4 linked regions of the Kluyveromyces lactis genome follow. The protein of the gene in region 3 interacts with the protein of the main gene of each other region in a pairwise test. Links are inferred from orthologs where the notes say so. Each region holds a gene or a part of one and is shown on either strand. Other genes may lie near its edges.

Evidence for each region.
Region 1: the proteins of SHO1 (region 3) and TUS1 interact in binary tests that used the Saccharomyces cerevisiae proteins (3 or more experiments, as listed by UniProt). The link is inferred for Kluyveromyces lactis from reciprocal best matches to the Saccharomyces cerevisiae genes SHO1 and TUS1.
Region 2: the proteins of SHO1 (region 3) and KLLA0_E00529g interact in a protein complementation assay, tested with the Saccharomyces cerevisiae proteins (2 studies listed by BioGRID). The link is inferred for Kluyveromyces lactis from reciprocal best matches to the Saccharomyces cerevisiae genes SHO1 and YBT1.
Region 4: the proteins of SHO1 (region 3) and LAS17 interact in binary tests that used the Saccharomyces cerevisiae proteins (3 or more experiments, as listed by UniProt). The link is inferred for Kluyveromyces lactis from reciprocal best matches to the Saccharomyces cerevisiae genes SHO1 and LAS17.

What each region holds. Positions count from the first base shown.
Region 1 is NC_006040.1:221,437-225,702, forward strand, and holds the start of TUS1 (Rho family guanine nucleotide exchange factor TUS1), read right to left. Parts: upstream 2,818-4,266; coding exon 1-2,817. Other genes in the region: CYB2 (L-lactate dehydrogenase (cytochrome)), read right to left, coding at 4,046-4,266. UniProt on the Saccharomyces cerevisiae protein: Guanine nucleotide-exchange factor (GEF) for RHO1 that stimulates the exchange of RHO1 GDP-bound form into GTP-bound form. Required for signaling of cell wall defects to RHO1.
Region 2 is NC_006041.1:41,309-45,321, forward strand, and holds the start of KLLA0_E00529g (uncharacterized protein), read right to left. Parts: upstream 2,818-4,013; coding exon 1-2,817. UniProt on the Saccharomyces cerevisiae protein: Vacuolar class C ABC transporter which regulates the translocation of phosphatidylcholine to the vacuole lumen, the release of lumenal calcium stores, and acts as a negative regulator of vacuole fusion. Exhibits ATP-dependent bile acid transport.
Region 3 is NC_006041.1:628,402-631,352, forward strand, and holds SHO1 (osmosensor SHO1), read left to right. Parts: upstream 1-1,375; coding exon 1,376-2,449; downstream 2,450-2,951. Other genes in the region: AVT5 (amino acid transporter), read left to right, coding at 1-1,052; DNA-binding protein kinase TEL1, read right to left, coding at 2,753-2,951. UniProt on the Saccharomyces cerevisiae protein: Plasma membrane osmosensor that activates the high osmolarity glycerol (HOG) MAPK signaling pathway in response to high osmolarity.
Region 4 is NC_006039.1:433,455-437,198, reverse strand, and holds LAS17 (actin-binding protein LAS17), read right to left. Parts: upstream 2,480-3,744; coding exon 518-2,479; downstream 1-517. Other genes in the region: KLLA0_C04796g (uncharacterized protein), read left to right, coding at 1-392; KLLA0_C04752g (uncharacterized protein), read right to left, coding at 3,267-3,671.

The DNA.
Region 1 (4,266 bases), on a different chromosome or scaffold from region 3:
TAAATTAGTAGGCGCCTGAATCTCATCGTAAGAAAACAGATCACAGAGACATTGTAATTGAAACGCCTGTTTTTCGTTGTGACCCATATGATTCTGGAATGCCTTCACCAGCGAGGCAACCCAGTGTTCTCGTTCTTCCATGGTTGAGGTTGAAAATGTATGAGATTCGTTAGACGCAGTATTCCTAATCTTGAATGAATAAGAAGATTCTTCATTATCGTCATTGTTTAAAGTAGCGTTGGTAGCAGTTTGGTATATCGTCTTCGGTATAGAGCTCATTGTTGTTCCAGCAGGTAAAAGTGGAGGCTTCTTTGACGTAGACGGCGTTTGGACATTGCAAGATTCTTCATCAGCATCTGACAATGATTTTCTTTTATAGTTAATGTCCTCCTTTGTTTCAACACTCAAATAATCAATGGGTATGGGTCTTTCTATTAGCTTATATTTCTTCCCTGATCCTTTGAATATTTCTTCAGTGATCAGAAAATAATTGTCCAATAAAAAGACATAGACAGGGGCACTCTCAAGCCATAGTTCTCTTTTCTTCTGTAATATACCTTGCATTATTAGCTTCCTGTCACCGTCCCCTAACTTTAAATCAAGATGCTCGTTGTTTGTAGTGAAATTTGACACGGAATCATTACCAGACTGTATGTTAAGGTAGTTGACAGTGTTGCCTGTCTTAGATGTAAAAATCAATTGACGAGCTAGTCTGACTATCTTACGTTTATCTATCGCATCACCATGGGCTTTATCTACTAATCTTGATAGTTGTTCAATCTCTTGAATTGCCATACGTAAGTATTCGTGATCATCCATTGATGGATCAGTACACTTCAATACAGATCTGAGTGTTACTGGCATATTTTGTAAAGATTTGAAAAATCCACCAAAAAAGATAACGTCGTGGTAAAGTTTAGATCTGGTTATTGGAGTTGACTCATCGATTTGCCTCAACCAAGATGCAAACCGGGTATTATTTTCCTTTTCCCAATTGATTATTTCGTGGACAGTAGCCATATTTTGCGCATACTTCACATACACCTGTTTAGCATCATTTGCCCACTTTAAATATATCTTGCCAACTCCATCAATGAATTTACCTTTTATTTTAAGTTTCCAAAGGATAGGGCTCAAAAGAATATCCTTATGTAACTCTATCAATGGAATGAATATATCATATGCCATCGACTTAAAATTTGGGTCATCCGGTAAAAGAGCCGGATCAAAAGAGGCCCCATATATCTCTACTGCTGCATTAGCGAGGTTTAATGATCTTTCCTCTAGCACTATTAGATCAAATATGAAACTCTGGCGTTTAACTTCCTTAGGATTAATCTCAGATAATTCTTCGGGAGTCAATTTCCAGTAATCGGTCCATAGCCCCACTGACTTGTTGATGAATTCTGAGATTTTAAGCTGTGACCTGTAATTCTCTGATCCTTTTGAGCTCCAGCAGGTGTATGAATAGCACTTCAAATCCGTAGTAGGATCATCATATATATGAGAATAAGAGTAACAGGGCAATAAATCCGTAAAAACCCCTTGAGTATCAAGCCCCGCAATGATGATGGTGATTTGGTTCCCAGTTTCCGGATCGTCTTCGAATCGCACAGCACCTTGTAAGATAAGCGATTCAATAATTTTGTCCACGTTCGAATCAATGATATCTTGCTCGCAAGAATTTGGTAGCTGGAATTCCAACAGTAATTGAACAATTTGAAAGAATTCCAATTTACCGAAAACGTATTCATTAAACCATTCGAAGTATACTTTCAAGAGCCACTGGTATATGTGTGACAATTGGCTAATGTTGTAGCACTGGTAAAGTTTTCTTTCATCCAAAAGGTCGATCGTGAAGGGGTATGTTGGCACTGTAATGCTAGCCACATTATTCAGTGGTTTACTCCCAGTGATTGAACCGAACGATTCATGTCTAGCATATTCTTCCACGTTTTTATTGAAAGCGTAGCTCGAATTGGAATAATAACTACTGATTGAGTCTGAAAGTCTTGGTTCATTAGGCCCTATTGCTCCATTACTAACATCTTTCATCTTCGGAGGTTGTGGATAGTATAAAGTTGTGTTTTGTAAACTACTTTTATCCGAAGTGGACCAGTTGAAATTTCCTGTCGATATTGGAGAAATGGCATCCAGCGCAGGGAGCGTTTCTGGAACTGCCATATCATTATAACGGTGTTCAACGGGCCCCGTAAACTGCAGTGTACTACTAGATGTTGCAGTAGTCTTTGTTGCCGCGTTAATAGGGCCGGAGAACGTTCGTGGGGGTAGTGCCGGCAGAGCTTTCATTGTGATATCTTTCGAATCCGAACTAGCGAACCCTTCAAACTCAATATTTGGCATCGTTACATTATTGGTGAATATACTTGAAGTTGAAGAAGAAGACAGCCTATTATTATTATAATTATTATTATCTGATTGTGAAGCTGGACTATCGCTATTATTGCTGAAACTGCTATTTGGAAGAGTTTCAGGTGACCGAAACACAGATGGATCACCAACGAAAGGCGATATATACACTTTCGGAGCAGGCGCCCTCTTTTCACTCACACTTACCTCTGTGACAAAAGGAGATGAATAAAGGTGCTGTTGGTCAATCTGAGGCTGCTGCTTTTCACTTGATCTAGACGGTACGACGGTGAAAGATGATCCAGATGTAGGAGTCACAGGGCTCGTCAGTATTGGAGGAGGAGGCCTCCTCCTCCTCTCATTATTCCCAACTTTCTTGGGAGTAGATTGTTGACTCTGCAAAGGCGGTAACGCCGGTAATCTAGGAGATCGTTGTGTACTGTCCATTACTCAAAATGATACTGTTGAAATGAATTGCAATACTTTGATAAAGGTAAACTTGTATTCATAAAGCCAGAAAGTGAAAGCTTCGTGTATATAAGCTAAATTGATACGCGAGTAGCAACGAACGCAGTGGGAGATATCAGTTTGGGGCCTTTCACAATAAAGTATTCATCTGTCCACCCCATCATCTATTTACATAGTAGCTACAACATTATATTTGTTAATAACAATAAGTTGTTCCTACGATTTGTCGTTACCATTACAAAGGGAAGGGAAGCAAATTGAAGAAAACAGAAAACTGCAACATCACAGTTTCGAACGGTTAACTACCTGTTTCTTATTTGTTTCCCTTCTGTTTCCCTTTCTAATTGTTTCTCACTTCCTATGTCGACGGCTGAACGAAAAAAGATGGAACCCCGAAACGTTCGCCCGGAAACCGTCGTTGCGAAGCATAATTACTGCTCAGAAGGAACTCTCGACGAATGCATCTCCAGAACTGTACGCTACTGAGCAGGCTATTGGAAAGACGTTAATATGAAGGTTTGAAGGGCTTACATGAATGTGGGACAACGGAAGGCACACCTGGGGCTCCCTTTCTTAGCGTGAGAGAGGATGATGCAATTTTGTGTCACGTGAATCATTTCTTTTTCTCATAGTTCCTACGTACCTGACTACAACAAAGTAAGGTTATCATTCCAAAAAGATGACAGCTTTTTCAGTTTGTGATTTCTCGAAATGATTACTACGAGTCATATCAGATGCCATAAGACATCTGCTTGAAAGGAAAGTGCACATTCTGATGTCATGCCTTCTGCAATCGAATCATATTCTACACACAAAATATGTATCAATATCTGCAAGGAATATCTTGTATGTGGTTTTTGGATATATGTATTATCAAACTAAAATAACAAATTAAAACAATTCCTGCGGTTTGAAATAGGACTCTAAACATGACTGAAATTGATTTATTGTTGTGTATCGTCGTAATTTGAATTGAATGTCAACGGGAATTGTATAACTGCGTATTGATTCGCCAATCGTAATAAATAAGTGGACATTGTTTTACTTTTTCGTAAATACCTGCGTGATATTTGTTTTATCTATTCTGGCGCGATTTAGTTTATATAATATATGTTGGAATATTCATTTATAAATTATCATTAAAGAAACGTTCATTAAATAATATGAGTCTTTATGGGTTCGAATGGCAAAAGTGAGATTGCTCTTTTCATTCCTCTAAGAATTGAGTTGGTTCATGTGGGACATATACCTCACGGTATAGGTTATCGCGAGGAACATTGACAGTTCTACCATGGATTGTAGATAGATCTAGGTATTTTTCGGATAATTGGTCTATACTTGTGACACCGAGTAATCTCATCGACATTTCCAATTCGTCCTTTAATAGCTCAATGGCTTTCTTGACACCTTCTTTACCGTAGCAACTGT
Region 2 (4,013 bases), about 590 kb from region 3:
CACCATGGAGTCATCCCCAAGGGACCCCTTCTGTAGCAATTCTACTGGTTCGCCTTGTTCTTTTACTCTACCATTTTCCATAATGATAACCCAATCTGCATTTTTTAAAGTTAATGCAACATTGTGAGAAACCAATACACATGTTCTTCCTTCCATTAATGGGCCTGTTATACAATTTTCGTAGATCCATAAGGCCGTGTGCGAGTCTACGGCACTCAAACAATCATCTAACAGCAAATGTCTTGATGAAGAATACAATGATCTGGCCAACGAGACTCTTTGTTTTTGACCACCAGAAAGTGTTATACCCTTTTCGCCAATCTCTGTCTGATCACCAGCGCTTAAGATCTCGAAGTCGCGTTTCAAACCACACGCAGAGATGACGGCATTATATCTATTCTCATTATAAGGCGCATTGAATAGAATATTGTTCCTGACAGTATCATTTAGCAACCAGGCAGCTTGGGAGCAGTACGCGATTGAATTAGTCATTCCATCGGCCTCTACAACCAACTCTTCCCTAGGATTGAGCGAAGGGACGAAAACTTTTCCGTTCAATAGCTCCATTTCACCCAATAATCCCATTAACAATGATGTTTTACCAGATCCAGTTGGACCTACAATAACGTTTAATTTCCCAATTTTGAAATCAATAGTTAGGTTTTTTAACTTGAAATCTTGATTATTTTTATCCCATGTAAAAGTAGCGTTTTGCAACCCAAGTTTATTTCTTGATACGGTTAATTGCTCATACTTTTTCGTCTCCTCTTCATTTAAAAATTCTTGGACTCTATCCAAAGAGACCTTGGATTGAATAACAAAAGACAACATATCAGAAAGCATGTCTAACGGATTTCTTAGTAGAGCAAATAGAGATAGTGCAGTAAATGCTACCGGAGTAGTTAAAGTTTGGCCTTGCACATAAATATAGACTGCAAAAGAAGCGGATGTGACAATAGAGGGGGTAATGAACCAAACAAGAGAAGAAAGAGCCCAAACGATAGACCTTTTTAAAAGCATATTTAATTCTTCATCCCTTGTGTTTTGTATGTCCTTTTCAAAATTCTCTTCCCAAGAGAAGAATTTGATAATACGAATGGCCTGGAAAGCTTCGTTTAGTTTCTGAATTCTTTTATCTGTGATTGCCAAGGATTTCTTTTGGAGTGTCCCTAACAAGCTGGCAAGTTTGAAGTTCAATGGTAAGAAGCAAATAATCATTGCACTACCAACTAAAGCAGACCAGCCTATTAACCGATATAAAAGGAATAATGCAACAATGGTCATGATGATCGCCTCTATAAAGGAGTGCAAATACGCACATATTTCGGATACTTTGAAAGCATCCACCGCCATCAAATTAATGATAGCACCAAGATTTGCAGTGGTTGCTGATTCTTCATCTCCATCAACGTGTTGTTTGTCATTTAATTCCTGTGGATCAACGACATCAGTTGGCTCCTTAGTGGAATTTGGAGAAATTTTTCTTCTCAAAGCCTTGGAGTAGATTTCAGAAATTATGATAGCCTTCATTCTGATACAAACCCTTCTCCCTAAAAATAGCGCCTGAGCAGCACATATGGCAGTTAAAATTCTGGCAAGGAACATAAGAAAAATATACATCCAAGCCAAATTTAATGGAGCAGTTGATTGATCTTCAACATACTCCAAAATACGTCTGAGCAACATTGTTGGAACAAAACTAATAACTGACGAAATTGTTGCCCAGGCACCTTGAATGGCGATAAATTTCATGAAAAAGTGGATTAAGTTAAATGAAAATGTCCTAGACTTGGTTTTATTCTGAACAAAATGATTGAATCTCTTTATTACGAGAATGGAATAGTCTTCCACCATTAGACCCCAAACATCTTTCATTTCGATATAATTTTGATGCGCTTTCCAAAGAAATTTATCTACCCATGCCCAAGTGATATAACTTGCAATCGACACAATAGGTTCAGGAGACGGTGTTATATCTGGTGTACTTTTATAGATAATGGCAAACCGATTTCCCGCTTGAGAGGTGAAAAGTAACAAGAATAGTGTCAAACTTAGGTAAAATTGCAACTTATAAAATGTTGATGCAATTTCATCTGTGATATGACCGATATAGATAGATCTCAATGGCAAAACGGATCCGCAGAATAGTGATAGATAACATGCAAATGAAAGGGCCCATAAGTTTCCCGGTCCTGAATTGATCCAGCTTATATTCTGGTTGATGTTTGCCAACCTCAATGACACTACTAACAAGAGTAGAGACCATAACATTAGACCTGAGATAGATGCGTGCATTGGGAAATCCTCTTGGGTATTAGTGTATTTCGACCAGACTGAAATGTAGATGCAAAGTTGTAAGGCGCATAGAACCCATTCTAAGAACACTCTTAATTTTTCAAGCCAGTTTCTCCTTACGATCTTCACAGCGTCATGCTTATTGGAATGAATTTCCGTAAGTGTAACTTTATTTATAGAGAAATGCTCCTCTTTTAGAGAGAATCCTGTCTTATTCGAATCCGGATTAGTGTATAATGCTTGTGTACTCTCCGATAGTAAAGGCTTGTTTTCATTCGGAAGGTCTGTGAGATTTGAGCCCAATAATTCGGAAGCAACACTAGGCTTAATTTCTTGAGGCTTTCTGTAATAATGTTGGATCGCGTTTTTGAATAAATACAAGAGAGAAACGCCTACCAATGTTATTGGAAGGTAGTAATTGATATACTGCACTCTTCCACACTCTGTAATATCATCATAGCGCCAAAATGGGCATGAATCACTTATTGCATCTAGATTTGAATTCGAATTTGAACCTGACATTATTTTAGCCGCTTTATAGTATTCAAAACAATCAAGAGAAAGTACTTGCTTGTCAGGAATCAACAAGGTAGGTATACCAAAGAGGGTAGGATAAATGCTCGTACTTGCCCACGAATAAAATAAGATATTCTTATGGTGCTGTATGGAACGAAGTGAGCTGAGGTAACTAGTGAAATGAAAGAATAGAAGAATTTCAATCACAAAAACAATTTTATGCGTACTACACTCAAAAAAGTTATCTCTAAAGCGGTTATTAAAAGCTCTTAGTATTACAGCAAAAATGATAATCTTTCAACCGAACAGTGCAACAGAGCTGCTTATGTTTGCTCAAGTAAGTTCTTCGTGTTACCCCCTTGCCGTTTAAATACGATTGAGTTGAACGTCCTTTAATTCTCAAAATTTTCAAAAACTCTGTCCTTGTTCTTTTTATACAGTATTTATATATTATACCAAGAAATATGCCAGATGACCTGTATTTGACTATCATGTCCGGCTGTAATTTTTTCATTTTTCTGGCTCTGTTATTTTTGAATGCCCACTACTGCATTTTCAGTGTAATGAGCTTAAATAGATAAAAATACAAGTTGGATGCGTTACAAACTAATATGTTGGTTGTATTGTTGACAGCAAGTCCATGTGTGTCATTATTTTCGAGATTTCCTATAAAAAGATAGCAATTATGTACCCATTCTAGTTGTACTACTCTAAATTCGCATATACTTAGGAAAGAGAAATTAATTTCTTATATAAGTAGAAAGGCCGCACGGATTGCATGTTATACATTTTACTAATCAGTATCAGGTGGATATATGTAAAAACTGCGCAGCGATTCTTGTCCATCTCATTTTGTATGGACTACGTGTACGCGGTACTTGCGTTGACATAGAAGGCCCTCTAGTGAGAGTAGAAAAAAAGTGTCAAACTGGGTATTGAAATGGATAACCTTAAAAAGGGAGGAAAACTAAGAAGGAATTTCACAGCTTCTAGTAGAACAATAAAAAGTCAGGTATATTTCCGAACCATCGATATACTGAGACGATCTTAATTGTGAACGGTGAGAGCCAAGATTTTAATTAAATAGCAGCTCATTTACCTCTCAGTTTATAAAAAGCGACTTCTGCGAACTGGGTTGTTCAGTTTGTTATATAGTCTAGTTTCCGTATTATCGTGGCAACTTCTTAATCGTTCCGTGATTC
Region 3 (2,951 bases):
CACAGATAATGTCCACGTTTACAACCCATGGGTGGCTCTTATCACGCCAGTTTCACATCACTGCAGTTACGTTGATCATCGTGACACCGTTGTGTTTCATTAAGAAGTTAGACTCTTTAAGGTACACTTCTTCCATTGCAATTACAGCAGTTGGGTACTTATGCGTATTAGTTGTCTTCCATTTTGCCGTTCCAAATAGCGAAATCGACCATTTAAGAGGCCATGTTAGCATCTGGAAACCCAGTGATGTGGATTCATCCATGCTAAGCAGTTTTCCAATTTTCGTTTTCGCGTATACTTGCCATCACAACATGTTTTCCATCATCAATGAACAATCAGACAAATCTTTAGACAGTATAACGAAATTGATTAGGATTGCCATTACGCTAGCAATGTCTTTGTACATTTCCATTGGAGCGCTAGGTTATTGCACCTTCGGTGATCATATTACTGGTAACATTATCACCTTATACCCAAACTCCATTTCCAGCACCATCGGTAGAATAGCTATAGCATTGTTAGTGATCCTTGCCTTCCCGCTACAATGTCATCCAGCTAGAGCATCTGTCAATCATATCTTACATTACTTCTCCAAGGGGAACACCCATCCCCCAATGACAACCACAAGTGCAGAACAAAACAGTCTATTACGGGACTCTGAACTCGAATCTAGCGAACAGTTAACCTACGAATGCGAAGACGAATTAATTGAAGAAAACAGCGCTAATCAGCCTCCAGTAGTAACGTTAGAAGGCCCTAGATTCATCTTTATCACGTCTGGAATCCTATTATTTTCGTACATCCTCGCTATGAGTGTTACGTCGCTAGCAAACGTTTTGTCAATAGTAGGAGCAACCGGATCCACTTCTATATCCTTCATCTTACCTGGAATATTTGGCTACAAGTTAATCGCATCGGAGTACGCCAAATCCGTTGTACCACCAGCAAAAGAACGAATCTTGAGAATTATCTCATTGTTACTTGCTATTTGGGGATTCATCGTCATGATAACTTCACTAAGTGCTACCATATTTCTACATGCGACACATTGAGGGTACAGGATAAACAGGGTACTAGAGACTAACCATTGATACTGCTACCAATTGTACTCCCGATTGACACTCTAAATAAGCGGCCCGCGTATTCCTAGCGAGCCTTTGGTTGCTGCCTGTCACATGATCAAAAAATAACTCATCTCTCATTGTAGACAGACACCAAAAAAAATGATAAATGTATACCGTATATACATAAATATAAAAAGTAATCAATACGAACATACTTGAACTTGAAGCAAGTTTATTTCAATTTTAGTTGTTGTGTTGTCACAAGTGTTCCAATAGTCCAGCGAGGCAAGGGAATATCTGCAAACAGAGAGATGGCGTTGATTAAAGCAAGTCAAGCCCGTGCTGTAAGGGAGAATCCGCATGTATCTCATCAATTTAACATCTCGTCATTTTTGGGCGATCCTTTTGCCATAGGCACACTTAGTATTGCATTGATCTCATGGATCATTGCATTGGCGGGATCCATTGCTGTTGCAGCATCTACGTCTCCATTCCCAAGATTTTCTTGGTGGACTATAGTTTACGAGATACTACTAATGATTACGCTTTTTATCGTGTACTGTTTGGATTTAGTTGACTACTATAGAATGTTCATTACTTGTGCTGTTGGTATCGCATTCGTATATACTTCGAATAGTACTAACAGTATTGTGTACTATGAAGGGTCCAAGAGTGGTGCAGCAGCAGCAGGATTTATCTTGTTATCCATGATCAATTTGGTGTGGGTGATTTATTTTGGTGGAGATAATGCATCTCCAACCAATAGATGGATCGATTCGTTCTCACTACGCGGAATTCGTCCTTCGGTGCTAGAGACATCCATGGCTATTGCCAGATCGCAGAGACTGCCGGTCAAACCTTCTTACCCATACCAATACCAGGAAGACTTGCGTTCAGCATCTCTGCCTGATGTCCACCACGATGACGAAGGTGAGGGCCACAGTGGCAACATGTATGCGCCAGAACTTCAATCGTCTACAAAGTATGTGTCGTCTACAGTGCTGAACGGATTTGAAAATACAGATCATTCCTCTTCGAAACCAAACCTTGATGTTAATGCGCAAAATACTGCTACACTGAATACACAGGCCACTGGCACTTTCATCACAGATACCACCAATGCCAACACAGATACTACCATGGGAGACACATTAGGCCTATACAGTGACATTGGTGAAGAATTAAACAGTTTCCCATACACTGCAGAGGCTTTATATACCTATCAAGCGGACCAAACTGACGCGTATGAAATATCCTTCGAACAGGGCGAAATTCTCAGGGTTGGTGATATCGAGGGTAGATGGTGGAAAGCCAAGAAGTCAAACGGGGAAACAGGGATTATCCCAAGTAATTACGTTAAGCTTTTGGATGGGAAATCACACTGATTTTATTACTGCCTCCCATCAGTTTGTATCATTAAACATTTGATTTGTGTATCGTCTTTTATATTATATTATTTCCACAGTTTGCAATAACAACCGGCTTATCAACCTTATTCGCGAAAAATTCAAGTGCTTTTATCAACACAGTTACTGAATTCTTCATTAACACGCAAATACTTGCTTCGAATGAATCATGCTATTTAATGAATATGCTATTATTTATAATTATACTGCTTGCAAATCGCTTCAGGTGCTGGTAGTATAATAAAGTCTTCATCTCGAGTAAGAACTTCAAACACATCAATCTTAATAAAATGGGGACCATCCCATGTAAATTGTCGCTAAATTTTGTTTGTCAGTAGCACTGGACAAAAGCTCCTGAACAATTGCTTCAACGCTCAAACCGTCTCCATATAACTTACTTTCAACTCCCTTTAGTGCTCTTATGGATTCATCATTATTATTATCTTCTTCTAAAAGCTCGCTGAAATCTGCATCGGAAACA
Region 4 (3,744 bases), on a different chromosome or scaffold from region 3:
CGGATTTAGATGAAGAAGAGGAAGAGGAAGCTTCAGAATCCATGATTGAATTTGTCAAATCACTATCGCAAAAATCTCGTCTCCTTAAGCTCTTGTTGAGTTCATTATCCAAATCGATAACCATAAAAAAGGATACTGTAACTACAGCAGCATATCTATCTGAGCTAAATCAACTCCACAATTCAATAGTTTCTAACTCTGATACTTTAATTTCATCCACCTTAGTGAACGCTGAATATGAAGTAGATCCAGAAGTGGAAACATCAGTACTTGCTATCAATAATGATGTTAAGAAAGTTATAAAAATTATTACACAGCTAAACGGTTCAGATGAGTCCAAGTTGAAATGGATACAGGTATGGTCAAATAAGTGGAGTTCTTTGAATAATTAGTTTAGTTTTATCTGTCTTCTGTTTTAAAGGCATCTGAAAGTAATATATAGGTACACCGTACATACAAATACCAAATCATAATTCCACAGTCTAGTCAGATGCAGTTCAAGTAGGGTGAATTACTTTCACCAATCATCACCGTTGTCTATATCATCGTCACGAGCAACTTTATTCTTTCTTTGGTTTAAAGCCGCAGCTAGGGCATCAGCCAAGGACGCAGGAGCACCAACAGGTCCGCCAGTTGACCCGCCTGTGGGTTGAGATACCGGCGCATCACTACGAACTTCTTGTAACAAAGGACTTGGCTTTTCAAGTTGAGATTTATCCACCTTACGGAGGGAATTCAGACCAGCTCCACGAATCGATGCTAATAAGGCATCCCTTCCAGCATCACCAGTATTTTCAACAAAACCAGATCCTGCTTCAGGTTGATTAAATGCAGGGGCTGGAGGAGGAGGAGGAGGTGGTGGTGGTGCGGGCGCTGAGTTCGTTATCTGTGGAGCAAAAGGTGCCGGAGGGGCAGGAGGTGCTGGGGGAGGTGCAGTGCCATTAGGTACCGCTATATGATGCTGGGGTTGGGCTAACATAGGCTCGGTCGATGGGTGATACTGAGTGCTTACACCTGAGTGGGGTGGTAAGACAGGGGGAGGCGGAATGTATGCGGTTTGCTGTGGTGGTTGATATTGCTGAACAGGAGGCGCTGCATTGTAGGTATTATGCTGTTGAAGAGGAGGAGATTGCATTTGTGGTGGAAGCTGGGGCTGGGGAGGGCCGATGGCTGAGTTATGAGTTGTACCTCTGCTTGCAGGTGGAGAAGGAGCCTGGCCACCACGTCTAGGTGGTGGTGGTGGTGGAGGCCCTCTTCCAGTACGACTATGCTGACCGCCAGTTGGAGCATTAGGTAGAGGACCTCTTGAAGGAATGGACGGCGGAGCAGCTGAGCGTCTTGGAGGGGGAGGTGGTACCGGACCACGCCTCGAAACTGGAGGAGCAATACCAGGTCTCGTTGAAGTTGGTCTCGGAGGTGGTTGCAGACCAGCAACAGAATATTGTCCAAACTGAGGAGTGTTGTTATTAGTGACGTTTTGTTGTTGAGCTGGATGGGAAGGTGGAGGAGGGATTGCAACGCTTTGCTGCATAGGCGGAATCGAAGGAGGTGCTGCAGGTGAAGGAGAATTATGCTGCTGCTGGAATTGCGGATGAGGTGACTGAGCCAGTGGACGATATTGTTCTGCTGGTAAAGGAGGAGGAACTGCATGTACCGGGTGGTTTATTGGTGGAGGAGGATTACTTGGTGCTGGTGTTGATGCATAGGATGAATCCGGGGTAGGAGAATGAGTAGAGGAAACCGATGGAGGTGCAGGAGAGCTTGGGAATGATGGAATAGAGTCGTACTTATAAGATGGGATGCTCACAGGAGGAGGAGGTTGTTTCTCGACAGGCGGTGGCGGTGGTTTCGAGGCAAAAGAAGGAGGAGCGGCACTTGCATCTGAAGCTGAGTTTTCAGTTGAAGCATAATTCTGGCTGGGCTGCTCGTAATGGTGTTCCTGGCGGTGCTCGTGCTTTTCCGGTTCATATCTATATCTGACCCTTTGGTCACTGATCAAGGATTCGCCTCTTGGACCATGGATCACTTTACTCTCTTCCTCTTTCTTAATTTGGTCCTCTAATGCAATTGCATTCTTGTTGGCCAAGGTCTTCTTGGACGCGTATTTCTCCCGTTTCTGTACTCGTTTCAAAAAATGTGAAGCATCGCCAATATCGGTGAATAACAACCCGGCGTTACATTGTTCTAATTCAAAGGTATGAAAGAAAGTACGATCCTGGTTATATTGAAAGTTCACGTACAATTCTTGATCCCAGAGAACACCTCGATGCCCATGCACGTCGATCAACTTCAAAAAGAAAGTATTACCAACGATATCGTCCACCAATGCAATGGCACCAGATAAGCCAGTATAAACCCATTTCTCTGGATTAGGGTATGCAATGTATAACCTAGCGATAGTAACATCTATAATCTTGTTAGAAGCCTTGGGCAAAGCATGTTTAACCTTTTCTTTCTCAGCAGAATTCAAGCCTCCCATAGTATACTCGGAAACAACTGCTTTATGATTATTAATTTCTCAAAAGAAGTGTAAACTCGTTCAACTTGAAATCAATTCTTGACGGAGGCAGCTACCGATGGGTTCTAATGAAAATAACACAAACGCGCGATGCACTTTAGGGAGTGGGGGGGTTTGGCTGACTATAATTTACGGTTCTTAAGTTTTCGGTCTGTTTAACATTTCGCAACTTTTCAATTTTTCAATATTGAAAGTTGAAGCGATTCTTAATACGGCATTATTCCCCTATAATTCACAGAGTGATTCAGTGAAAGAAGAAGGGACCAACAGAACTGCGAGAGAGATAAAAAAAAAAGGACCTTTACACAATGGGGTTTGTTCAAGTTGCCATATTGAATTCAAAAGTACTAACAGACCATTTGTAAATGGGAATACAGTGTGCCCATTTAGGTCACTGCAAGGTACAGGAAAGACAAGAAGCATTTCAGTACGAACACGCATTCGAACATAATACGGAGAAAAATTAAGAGTTCTGTTTACTGATACATCTGGCCGACGCATGTGGACGTGGTTACAGCGGCACAATGGCAGAAGAATTTCTGTCCTGACCCAGGAACCGTCTGGCACTGCAGCATCTGACAAAAGTCAGAATCACTTTGTACGTGTTGATCGCTTTATGCTGGGTTTTTTTGGCAACCAGCATGCGGTATTCAAAAGGTAAACAACAGCTACATGCTCGAAGAGATCAGAGGGAGAAACATCGAAAGATGGTTTTTTTTTGCAGGTGGACGGTGTTTGGATTGCGTGCTTATGATGTGAAATAGTTTACAACAGGCGGCGTGATTGGGTTTACATTTTGTGTCTTGTTTACAGTTACGTTAAACGTAAATGCTTTCTTCTCTTTAGTCCAGCGTAAAACTCTTCCAAAAAGAATTCTTTTTCCTAGGCACTTTTTTGACACGAAATTATGTTTTAGCATATTACAGGAACAGCTTTTGGATGTTGCGAAACAAAACGAAACGAAACAGAGTAAACATAAACAGTGAGCAGGAGCAAGTGTTTGAGAATGCTTTCTGTGGTGTGTTTGTTTACATGCTTTGGAATGTTTGAAACAAGTGCTGGGGTCCAGCTCGATGTCATATTTTGTGATTTCTGGTATATAAAGGGCACAACAATGGCAGGATGAGGTACCAGTAATGCAACTATCAATCATTGTGTTAAACTGGTCACCAGAAATACAAGATATCAAAAATTACTAATACTACCATAACAGTACTTACCTGTGT